Linked DNA regions of Bombyx mori. The protein of the gene in region 2 purifies or fractionates together with the protein of the main gene of each other region. This does not show direct contact. Links are inferred from orthologs where the notes say so. Each region holds a gene or a part of one and is shown on either strand. Other genes may lie near its edges. The genes, in order: sarcolemmal membrane-associated protein, FGFR1 oncogene partner 2 homolog and programmed cell death protein 10.

Region 1 (3,655 bases), on a different chromosome or scaffold from region 2:
CATAATTGACACATTTTACCAACAAAGGCAATGATACAGCAGACACCAGATGGTCAGTGCTGGCCATCGGTTAAGGCGGCAGCTGTATACCTATATCGTATTTTGAAACATAATACGTAACTGGGAGTTTTCTTGACTTCCCCACAAACAAAACTTGATACAAGGCACAGTACAAAGACAAAGTAAATATGTCTATGATTATGTAAGCAACTGCTTGCTTAGATTAAGATAAGCGTTTCTAAAAGCAAATTCCAAAAGGTAATAACTATGATGAAATATAAAACTTACGATCCCACAATTGGGTGAGGTTTAACGTTTTAAAGGCAATAAAATAAGGAATTAATGAAAACATCAACTAACCATACATTATTGAAATGACATGATTAGAATAATTATTGGCCGTGGGCGGAATCAGTGAGAGTAGTCCGTTACAGAACTATAGCACGTATAAGTGGTACAAGGCCCACTCATAATTTCAAATGTAGAATGAATTGATGACTTCAATTTCGTAACGTGCATAACTTTTATGCTATCATAACTGTAACAGTTTTCACAACGTTCGCACAGTCGTGATGTCAAAAGCGAAAATCCTATTGAATTTTTATTGAACTAAACGCGTGGTTGAGCTGACTGACGGATAGGAATTATAGCATGATTCTGGCCCTGGATTCTGTCCTTTAAGCCGTGCAAACAGAGAACAGTACCAATATTTAAAAAAAAAGCAATTGGTACACATTGCACTACTAAGTTAAAGATGTTGTTTACATTCTTACCATATTCCGTATGTGTAATAAAAATAAACAATTAAAGAACAACATGACCAACACTTCTAGAGAATTTAATGTCGAATATGATATTGTAGTTTGTTTTTTTTAGACTTGATTATGTTATTATCACGATCATCAACTTACCACAAGGTAAAAGTGTCCCTTTTCGTAGTACAGTGTGGCATGCTGCCTCGACAGAACCCGACATTCGAATATGGCGTTAGTAGGACTCGCCGCTGCACGGTAGACATTACGTCCAATCTGCAGAATATTCATAAAACAATTAATATAAATAAAATAATTATAAGACAGATTTGTACAATACAAACAGTCGAAACTCTAATTTCCATAGATAATACACATAAACTAAGTTATAGATAAGCAAATCAAGCACTCAACAAAAATGTTTACGGGTGTCGGCCTCTAGATGGCCGATTAGTTTCTCATTGCTTCTATAGATGGCAGTAACATATTACCTATCCTATATTTTATTTTTAATGAAGGATTATGTAAATTTTCAGAAACCACTAATTGATAAAATTTAATCAGTTTGTCTATAACAAATAATGACTTGCATGTTGTTTTTTTTTTCTGTGTTTAGTTTACACAATAATTAAATGTCTTAACTTTAACAACATTTATAAATAAGTACAGGGGTATCCGCTACAAGATGTCGATAGTTTCCATACAAAAAAACTATTTGTCTTAAAGTATCGCAGTTTCCGTCTAAACAAACAAATTTATTATCATAGTGATAATTCCTTTAGAGGCCCGAATCCCAGAAACATTACTATTATAGTATATATTTACTATTAAACTAGTAAACGTTATGTAACTAATTAGATGAGTGGCGTTTGGTTTATAGTTATAAATTAGCTTCGTAATCAATTCATGTTTGCGTTCATGACTCAGATATTAAAACTATTTACTTTAGCGATGCATGTGATGTTATTACACGTTATTATCATACGAGCACATTAAATTATAACGCTGTGGAACAATGAAGTTTAAATGTTTTGTACAATTATAACTTCAAATCAGAAATAGATTCGAAAGAACACTAAATCAGTTGAAAAAAAAAAAAAAAAAAAAAAAAAAAAAAAAAAAAAAACAATTGAATACATTTATGGTACTTATGTTCATAGTTTTCCATTTGTACAATCATTTGAATGTTATAGCATCTTCCTGTATGAGATAAGGAGATACAACAACTTCCTTACTGACGCTGTTAGTTGTACAGATGCGATGTCAGAAATAGTATAATTTGATTTAATTGCCACTGCGCAATTGCCATCTCAAGCACCCGGGGTCACGATGACTCAAGATTCAACGAGTAATTCTTATCTTCTTTATAAATACGATCAGATACAACAAAGAAAACTGCAGAAGGTCTTTGATAGTTTATAAGACGTTTGAAAGAACTTACATGAATCGAATGCAATGCAATAATAACAATTAAAAATGATTCAGTATAATCTTTGTATTCTCAATATCTTTAGTGAAAAATTATGCCAAATGACTACATTTACACTTCGATCTATGTATATGACATTGTGTCGAAAAGGAATCCAAGTTTATACGATATAAGCCAAACAAACAATCCGTGACATCAACCAGGTGAGATAAGGAACCCGTCACAAAGACTATTATTCTTTTACGTCAATTATAATGATCAAAAACTATTATGTGCACAGTTGATAAGTAGACAAATAAACATTATACAAAAATATTCTAATGAAGTATAGAAGAATACGTTCATATGTTTTATTAGAATTTGAGGCATCTGAACAAGTTGGATTTTATGTCAACAGTAGCAGGCAGACAGAACGTCGAGTAGCATACAAAGTAAATTATGGATAAATGCAATGGACGCGACGACAATGGAAATACTAAACAGTTTTTATTCAACGATACCTTTTGAAATTTACTCAAGAGCGTTCTCGCATTCTTAGGATCGTTTTAAAAAAGATCGGGACTGATTACAATGGTATGCGCGTTTGTTAAAGAAGAATAGGAAACAATGCGGACGTTTCGGATTTACCAAACACTTGTTCAATGATCTTTTTTTTTTTTCTATAAATAACAATGTATTAAAAGAAAAGTAGAATATATACTAATGTCGAAATTCATCACTTAACATGTAATTTAATTATATCTTTTAACGTACGTAGAATGAAGACTTGGTTGACTTGTTTTTTTTTTCAACTGCCCATAGCCGCTCACTGCGGCATTTATGTCCCCTTCGAGGTTCGCCACAATTACCGTTCTAGCCCAACCTGCATCCAGCGGATTCCCGCGACCTTTAGCAGGTCGTCCGTCCAGCTCGTAAGAGCCCATTTGTCTACCCTTTTTTTCTTCATCTTATCCCACTAGGTAGGGTCGGCACAGCTAATTTTTCTCTTCCATTCCCTGCTATCAGCCGTCAGCTCAACACTCACTCCTCTCGCTCTCATATCGTCATTCACACACTCCAGCGATGTCTTCTTTTTTATTTCTTAGATAGGTGGACGAGCTTATAGGCCACCTAGTGTTAAGTGGTTACTGGAGCCCATAGACATCTACGACGTAAATGCGCCAATGTAATGCGTAAATGTGTTACTTTGTAAATTTATACAAGGTGTAAGATATCCGTTCTCGACAAGGAAATTATGAAGAATAATAAATACAGAGTTGGATCCGCCCACTGACCTCCCTCTCGAAGTTGGACTTATCTAACCGGACTGTTTGTCCCAGGTATATATTTTTGTCTTCAACAGCAAAAGCAGAGTTACCGACAGTTAGTGAGTTTAACACGGTCATTGAACATGATTGTCGCACATTTTTACGTCGTCGTGGCCTAAAGGATAGTCCGGTGCGTTCGTGTTGAAAGATGCACCGGTGTTCGAATC
Region 2 (4,267 bases):
TCTTTGGACACTTTTGACAGCAGCTACAAAATAATCCATTAATGATAATTACTACATACTACAAGTATATAATTTATGCATACTACTTAAGTAACAGATGGACTTTTTGGCGGGAACGCGAGGAGTGAAGTTGTGTGATTTTTTTTAGTTTGTCTGTTTAGTGTTTCTTCAGGTTTAAATGTGTAATAACGGTGGTTTATTAACTGTTTAGTATCTGTGAAGGTGCACAAATGTGGGAAAATGAAATAAAGCCGTTGGACGTAACTTCTCGAGATTATATTTCATCTCATATCATCTCATTTCATTTAATTTCATTTCATCCCAGTTGATGAATGTCTCAAATTAATCATCTTCATTTCATTTCACTCCATGTTATCATTTTTCATAAAATTTAGAATATAAATTAAAATAAGACATGACTTAAAGGTCATAATTACCAGGTCACAAAATCCCATAAAAAATCATATTTATTTTTATTTTAAATTATTATTTTGCTTAACGTTCTAATTTCTGCCAGTCAAGTTTGATGTTTTGAAGGGACGCCTTTACCTGTTGAAATCGATACTTTATTGGTGTTTTCATTTCACGACAGCTCACCTAGGATTAGTGGAGCATTTTTCAAGGCTTATTTTCTCAGGTTTTCCCATTTGTGGTACCTACCTACTTCTTCTTATGCCGGCCACTGTTTGCGCGCATGTGTAGGGCCGTCAAACATTCATTCGCAAACTTAGCTTTGCAAATGGGTTCGGTATTTAATTTGCGAACCCGTTTGCGCTTCTTCCTACACTTGTTTACGAATGTCTCACGAATTTCTCTTCCTTTTTAATTCGTCAATAGAACATTGACGAGAAAAAGAGTTTTGAATTCTTTCCCAGACATCATTAACAGCCATGCTGTTTTTATGGGATTTCTTTTGATGAAGATACGCTACACAGGAGACGCCACGAACTATGAAAATGACGATACGTCCATTACCTTCGCAATCGTCGGCGCAACTGGGCAAATGAATGTGTGGTAAACTCAATCCAGAGCCGTATGGTAGGTACGTGGGAAAAAAGATCTCTGGAAGCGCACTGTGATGAACGCTACTCTACTCCGGTGGCAGGTACGTTCAATGGTGTGTTTTACACTTCTACAACTTAAACTATTTTTGAAGCATTAGGATATTTGAATTAATATCCAGTGGCACGGTGATCTTACCATATAATCTGGTGATTTAAAATATTGTTGCAAGTTGAGGCATTTAAGCGGTGTAGGCAATGCTCATAATTTAAAAAAAAATTGTCATACCATGGACACCAAACTAATTTCAAATCTAATCGTAAATATGTTTTGTCTTTGTCGCTCTACAAACCTTTTTATTTGACAGAAGAGTTTCGACGTCATTTCAAGGTATTCTTTAAAATTGTCCGTATAATAAGTCGCTTCAAATCAAACATAATGAAAGCTAATGGCTGAAACTGTTCACGAAACAGCTGATGGTGCATCGTTCGATCTTCAATAAAAACTTGTTTCTTTCATTCTAGAGTGTAATACTATTTAGATGAAACCCCATTCGTTTCATTGTTTAGCTTTGAAATCAGGGTGTGTTAAACCGTGTCACGGATCAGTTTATGAAAGTAAATTTCTTGGTGTCTATATTGCTGGCTTTTTCAGATGTCACTGACTATCCAGCAAATAATTTTGGATGCAAAAAGGCTCGCAGGTCGTCTTAAAGAACGCGAAACAGAGGCTGATGCTCTGTTGAGCGAAACCCAAGCAACTTATCGACAAATTCATACAATGAAACAGGTAAGATTTTCTTATGCACTCTATTAATTTAAACAGTGTTAAAGAACTTAAACATTAGGCCCCATTTTCGAAAGAAAAAATGGTTTTATATTCGACGTTTTAACTTAAACTTAATGTGATTAGAATAATGATCTTGTTATTAATTCCAATCTAATATGATTGGATTGTATTGGTGACCTTGAGTTTAATTGTCAGTTTTGTAAACAACATTCAAACACGCAAGCTTTCACAAAGTTATGGTACCTTCAAAATAAAGAAGTTCTTTTTAATATTATTGGATAAAATACATAATATAAATAGAAACCAAAAATATTATTTTGGTCATAAATTTAATCATTATTTTTAATGACAATACTTATATAATATACGATATTTTACACGTAGTACACGCCAATAACTTAACGTAGCGTTTTATTTTATTTTAAAAACCTTAAATTTTGTACTATTACTGTAAATTGAATCTGGGATCTGTAATGATATGTTTTGCGAACAACACATCTACTTTACTAGAGTTTCAATCAATACTAATAAGAAAATGATATTATGTCATAAACTCATCAAATTACTTATTTATGTGATTATATTTAGCATTTAGATAGTGGTCATATAGAGTAGTAATTTGGCATATTGAATGATTTATTGTGGTCTACTCAATATGCCTAACATAAACAAAACGAAATTTGTTTTTCCTGTACTTGTATTTCTGCTATTTAAGTCAGTGTAATAATTCTAATCAGTTTATTTGTTTATTATAATCCTTACTTCTGACAAACATGTTATGATGTCATTCTAAATTATAACTATTTTCTTTAGTATAAAGAAGAAGTTGATACATTAAATGAGGCATCACGAGAGAGACCAAGAGGGGCTCTCATCGCCAGCATAGAGAGAGAGTCTCAGCTCATGAGGGGTGTGCAGAGGGAGAATGGTGAGCTCAGAGCTGCACTAGAAGATCACAGACGAGCCTTGGAATTAATCATGTCAAAATATCGACAGCATACAGAGAAGAAAATATGGGAGTCAAGAATAGATTTCACCTCAGCTATAAATGAGAAACAACAAGAGGTTTTTTGCTTTTATGACATAGAATCCTTACTATTTTTGTGTTATGTTCCTTTTTATCAAAGTATTTCACAGTAGATTTTCCCAAGAAATCAAATTTATAACAAATGTAAAAATCTTTAAAGTAAAGAATGCTTGGTACTCAAATAAAGTACTAGTGTCAAGCATTGCTAATATATCAATATTTTAATTAAACAAGCAGATACTGATTTTGGAATGCAGTCTACAATGTAGGAATAACATTCTGTAATGTGTAAGTGGGTACCAATTTTTCTAATGAAATACGTACTTAACAAAATGTTCGCGATTGACTTCCACGGTGAAGGAATAACATCGTGGAATAACAATAAATAGAAATCAAACCCGCAAAATTATAATTTGCGTAATTACTGGTGGTAGGACCTCTTGTGAGTCCGCACGGGTAGGTACCACCGCCCTGCCTATTTCTGCCGTGAAGCAGTAGTGCGTTTCGGTTTGAAGGGTAGGGCAGCCGTTGTAACTACACTGAGACCTTAGAACTTATATCTCAAGGTGGGTGGCGCATTTACGTTGTAAATGTCTATGGGCTCCAGTAACCACTTAACACCAGGTGGGCTGTGAGCTCGTCCACCCATCTAAGCAATAAAAAAAAAAAATAAGAACTCCTGCCAAAGTACTAATTTGCATTATTACTGGTGATAAGGCACCTTGTTATCCTACATAGGTAGGTACCACCATTCTGCCTATTTCTGCCACAAAGAAATGATCCGGCCTAGAGAGTGGGAAAGCTGTAAAACTTTATGTATTTTATATGCTGTTCTTTCCAATGAGATATAGATTTCAAGTATCAAGGTGTGGTCTGCATTCACATTGTAATGACTGTTAGGCACTAAATGCCAAATGGGCTGTGATTTCATTCACTTGCAAATACTATAAAAATAAAGATCATTCACGGCAAGTGAATTTTTTACCACAAGCAAGCCTTAAATCGATTAGTTTAGTTTCATGTTTTTACTTTAGAATATTTTGACATATAGAAGGCATATCACTCAAACATGATAATAAATTCACAGAAGAAAAATATCTTATGTTTCAGTTGATACGCCAGCAAGCAGAACGAATCAATGAAATGACAACTGTTATGTACAAAGCAATAAATATGGACGAGAATAGTGAAGCCAGGAAGGATGAAGAGCTTTACCAAAGGCTCATTACTGAAAACAAGGTAAGAAGTTTCTAAAGTATTGTACAACATAATATGGTTGATGGGGCTTTCTTCTCCACACACAAATGCTACTTAATTATGAAAGTATTCCATCAGCTTATTTGCTTATAGTTCATAGATTTATTGCAGGTTTAAAAAAAAAAATACTTTTATAGTTTTCTGTAAGATCTTATGGACACTATTAGTATGACAATAGATTGAAGATCATTT
Region 3 (4,281 bases), on a different chromosome or scaffold from region 2:
AAAATAAATTATTTTATTATTTGCTTTGCAATGCGGTTTTTCTTAGTGCCAAATTATGATGAAGCGGCGTGCATAGCAATAGGAATATGTCTCAAGTCGGCGCACACTTGCCACTTTTTCGTACAAAACGTGTTGTTTTAGTGATCGTTGGGATTCACAAGGTGTTGCATAGTAGTTACTGCACCTTATCTTTCGTTAAAATTAGCAAATGTATGTGATTCGGTAGTAAGTAAATAATTTTTATCTTTTTCTTTGTGTGCCGCCAAATTTTGAAATAGTTAAATATGTGCCGCAACAAAAAAAAGGTTCAGAATCACTGCTCTAATGCAATAAAAATAAAAAACAATGGATCTCCGATTGTAACTAATTGACATAAATACTCACTGTCCTTCTTTAAAGTATTCTTTGAGTGTAGTAGAAAATCGCTTTGAATATTTTACAAATTCTCTTTTCCTCTGTTCTAATACTTGCTTCCCAGGACCTGGAGTATATGTAGATACCTCATTTACAGCATCCAGTAATTTTTTTATGGCAGAGGCTATTTCCCTGTTAAATTATATACTATGGTTATTACAATGTTGATTATTATATCAACGCTTGAAAGGCAAATGTGACTAAGCAATAATAACTGCTTTGTACATAAATGATAGGCAATAACCATATTTAATGCGTAAAAAATATATATTTCTAGGTATATTAAAAACATTTCAATCCTACAGCTAGATTCATTAAAATTGAATTTTTTTCAGGTATTTCAGCTTTAAATTGGTCTACTGTAAAGTACACGCATTGTCACTTAGTCATGTTTGCCTTTCAAGTGTTGATATATTAAAGAATACAACCAATATTGCATTTTCTACAGCACATACTTGATAGTCTCAAGAAAAGTCTTCCGATCAGTTATCTCATCTGGAATGCGACTCAGTATCTTTTTCAAAGCAGCAGATTTCTTATTAAGCTCCTGAAATGCCTCTTCAGTCCTGTTCAGCCTTAAATCAGTACCTATAAACAGAACTTTCTTGAGATTACATTGTAAAATCGTTTGTTTTTTAATTTTGTCTTTATCGTTTTATTTCTGAAAAATGGTCAGTTTTCATAACTTGAAGGTTTTTTAAATAGTATCATAAACTTGTAAGTTAACTAAATACAAAAAAATATAAATTCATACATTCTGAATCTGTGAGACTCCCTTGTAATCTTAATAAGCTCTCATTCATATTAACAGGAATATCTGCTCTCCTCATGATTCCTGCCACCAAATCATAATTAAGACCAGGTACTGCAGCCTCTGCTTTGGTGAGAGCTGCTCGTAATGTCTGAGAGGCAGCCAGATCATATTTCTCCAGCTGAAAACACATTTTAAAACATACTTTAGGTGGGAAAATAATATTAATAATAGTCTATCTGGCTATCGACTTTGCTTGGGTCGACAAAATACATACTACTATTAATACTTACCTTTCCTATAACAGTACTACTATTTTCACCATTTTCATCCTTAAATTCCTATAATTTTGCGTCTATTTGCTACCTAATCTAAGACGACATTGATCAAAATGAACACACATGTACCATTTTATTTTTCCCAAGAAATAACAATGTCTGCTTTATCTTGCTCTGTCAGTTATCCTGCTCGGATAACTTTTTGTATCAGGCAATTGAGACTTGAAGTTTAGGGCAACAGTATTCATGATATTTTTTCTAAGAACTCCAGTAACCAGTAACAAAATATGAATAAAGTTATGAAAGCAATATTACAGTGGTTTCTTTATTATTAACGACTGTAAAACAAAAGATACAAGATCAATTCATTTTATTAATTCTGATATTGGGTCTTGTTGAGGTTACCAAGAAACTAGTTGATAGTTAAGTTACCTTGATTAGAATGCCTAAAATGATAAGGTCATATTTTAATACATGTAAGTAGATTTAGAACGACTCACCTGCGTTAGGACAGGGCGAATTAAAACTGGTAATACCAAAGAAGTCACAGGCAATTCATCGCCCATTGTCATTGTGATAGTTTAAATATTTCAATTTATCTAAGAAATTTATAAAACCCCAATGATTGTAGGCCAGTAACAATCAGATAAAAACAGTTTAATTAATGAAGGTAAATTTTGTAATCATTGGTGACAATTTGAGAAATATGTCAAGTGGTAGTACTTCCCTTTTTCTAACTGGAAAGGCGAAAGTATCACCTTACAACCAAATTGTTCCTTTTTTATGAAAAATGAAGAGAACGAAATTAAATTAATTAATTTGAAATATGAATCAATTAGGATGAAAGTAAATGAAACAAGATGAGTTGGGATGAAGTATAGTCTGAGTGATATGGTTATTTACTGAGACTTTTTGGAAGATCCTGGGAAACTACACCCAGCACGGCGCCGCGGCGGCTTTGTTTCATTTTTCCACATTTTTGCCCTTTCACGGGTACTAAACATTTAATAAACCACTGCTATTACACATTGAAACCCAAAGAAAGACTAATTTAATAAATAAAACAATTCACACAACTTCTCGCCCCGCGTTCCCGCCAAAAGTCAAACAACGTGAACGTATTGAATTTTCTTGTTTGATTAGTCCATTGTAAACGAAATGTAAGCACCTACAGCTAAATCCTTTGTACTTTGAAAATTACAAGAAAATATCATAGGCATAGTTTTTAGGGTTTTCATGAAAAGACCATGACAATACAACTGACGCATGGCTTTAATATTTTAATATTTAATAAAAATTTAGGAGTATGATCAAAGTTTCTTTGCCTCTTCACCAGATCAATAAAAAAAAAATACGATTTCACTCATTGAACCACAGATTGAGAGAGGCGGGAACCTTCAAAAAATTTGGGACGGAACTTGAGAAGAGGGCCAATTAAAAAATTCATATCCTTTTTAACTAATTTAATTTGATATTCTGTAGATATTGTAGCATATTTTAGTTTATAACTGTATATATGTTTAGTTTATAATTGTATATTTTAGTACTTTAGCGTAGATAGTATGGAGTTGGAGGCGGGAACGGATCCCCCGGATCCGAATATTACTGAGGAGACAACTGATACGACTAACTCAAGGTTTAGCCAACCAATATTTTTCTGTGATGAGTTCGACCTTTCCAACGTATCTGAATTTGTCAACGTTAAATCGAAGAAATCCCAAAAAAAGAAACTTGTTAATTCTTTTAAACCAAAGATCTCGGACAAACAACTTTCGTTGCGCCCGCTGCAGCAGGCTTTGGCGGGAAATCTTGCAAATAACGTAAATAAGCTTATAGTGCCTCCTCGCCAAATTGTACAGACCTCACCAGAGCCTACTTCAGCGAGTCCTTCTATGACACCATCTGAGACCCCAATGGCTGACTCTGTTTACAGAAAAAAATACACTGAACAGGATCCTGGTCCATATATGGTCCATGTTACTTTAATCTCAGATTCTAATAGTACTACATCACTGCACCCACTTAAATTTGGAAATTTTCTAAAGAAAAGCAATCTTGGTAATATCTTACAGGATGGAATTAAACGAGTAGGTCGTAATCGCCTGGCAATAACTTTTAAAACACATAGTGATGCCAATATTTTCATATCCAACATGTCTATGAATCCATTGTGATTCCAGTGATTCCTACATATAATATATGTAAAATGGGTTTGATAAAGGGTATCCCTCAGGAGTGGACTCATGAGGACATTGTAGACAATCTGCAAATCCCAGAAGGCTATGGACAAATTATCAAATCCCGTAGATTAAACAGGAAGTCTGTCAACTCAGATGGAACTTCATGGATTCCTACTCAAACTGTGGTCTTGACTTTTGACGGACAGTCTCTTCCCTCTAGAGTGTATTCCTTTTTTTCAAGTATTCCAGTTGAACAGTATATTTATCCAACGGTACAATGTTTCAATTGTTGTCGCTTTGGACACACTCGTGTTCAATGCAGGAGCAAACCTAGATGTAATAAATGTGCTGGAGAGCACAGCGGACTGGCTTGTAATACTGAGACTTTTTCTTGTGTTAACTGTAGAGGTGAACATATGGCTACAAACAAATCTTGCCCTGAGTTTAGTAGACAAACAAATATTAAAAAACATATGTCTCAAAACCCCATTTCATACCAAGAAGCCTCTAAATTGTTTCCTATTGTAAAGAAATCATATTCGCAAATAACATCATCTATTCCACTATCTGCCCAAAGTTTAAATGATGTAGATAGTTCAAATTCTGTCTCTTACAAAAAAACTGTTATAAAGAAGCCTAAACAGGCATCTATTTTAAA

Evidence for each region.
Region 1: the proteins of FGFR1 oncogene partner 2 homolog (region 2) and sarcolemmal membrane-associated protein purify together in Homo sapiens (affinity purification with mass spectrometry; 3 studies listed by BioGRID and IntAct, with this or other methods). This does not show direct contact. The link is inferred for Bombyx mori from reciprocal best matches to the Homo sapiens genes FGFR1OP2 and SLMAP.
Region 3: the proteins of FGFR1 oncogene partner 2 homolog (region 2) and programmed cell death protein 10 purify together in Homo sapiens (affinity purification with mass spectrometry; 3 studies listed by BioGRID and IntAct, counting the BioPlex papers as one, with this or other methods). This does not show direct contact. The link is inferred for Bombyx mori from reciprocal best matches to the Homo sapiens genes FGFR1OP2 and PDCD10.

The regions. Positions count from the first base shown.
Region 1 is NC_085114.1:11,213,253-11,216,907, forward strand, and holds part of sarcolemmal membrane-associated protein, read right to left. Parts: intron 1,029-3,655; coding exon 912-1,028; intron 1-911. UniProt on the Homo sapiens protein: Associates with the striatin-interacting phosphatase and kinase (STRIPAK) core complex, forming the extended (SIKE1:SLMAP)STRIPAK complex.
Region 2 is NC_085119.1:12,364,479-12,368,745, forward strand, and holds the start of FGFR1 oncogene partner 2 homolog, read left to right. Parts: upstream 1-1,383; 5' UTR 1,384-1,584; intron 1,585-1,656; coding exon 1,657-1,791; intron 1,792-2,604; coding exon 2,605-2,856; intron 2,857-3,928; coding exon 3,929-4,057; intron 4,058-4,267. UniProt on the Homo sapiens protein: May be involved in wound healing pathway.
Region 3 is NC_085110.1:8,725,597-8,729,877, reverse strand, and holds the start of programmed cell death protein 10, read right to left. Parts: upstream 2,834-4,281; 5' UTR 2,016-2,833; coding exon 1,944-2,015; intron 1,347-1,943; coding exon 1,169-1,346; intron 1,003-1,168; coding exon 870-1,002; intron 547-869; coding exon 385-546; intron 1-384. UniProt on the Homo sapiens protein: Promotes cell proliferation. Modulates apoptotic pathways. Increases mitogen-activated protein kinase activity and STK26 activity. Important for cell migration, and for normal structure and assembly of the Golgi complex.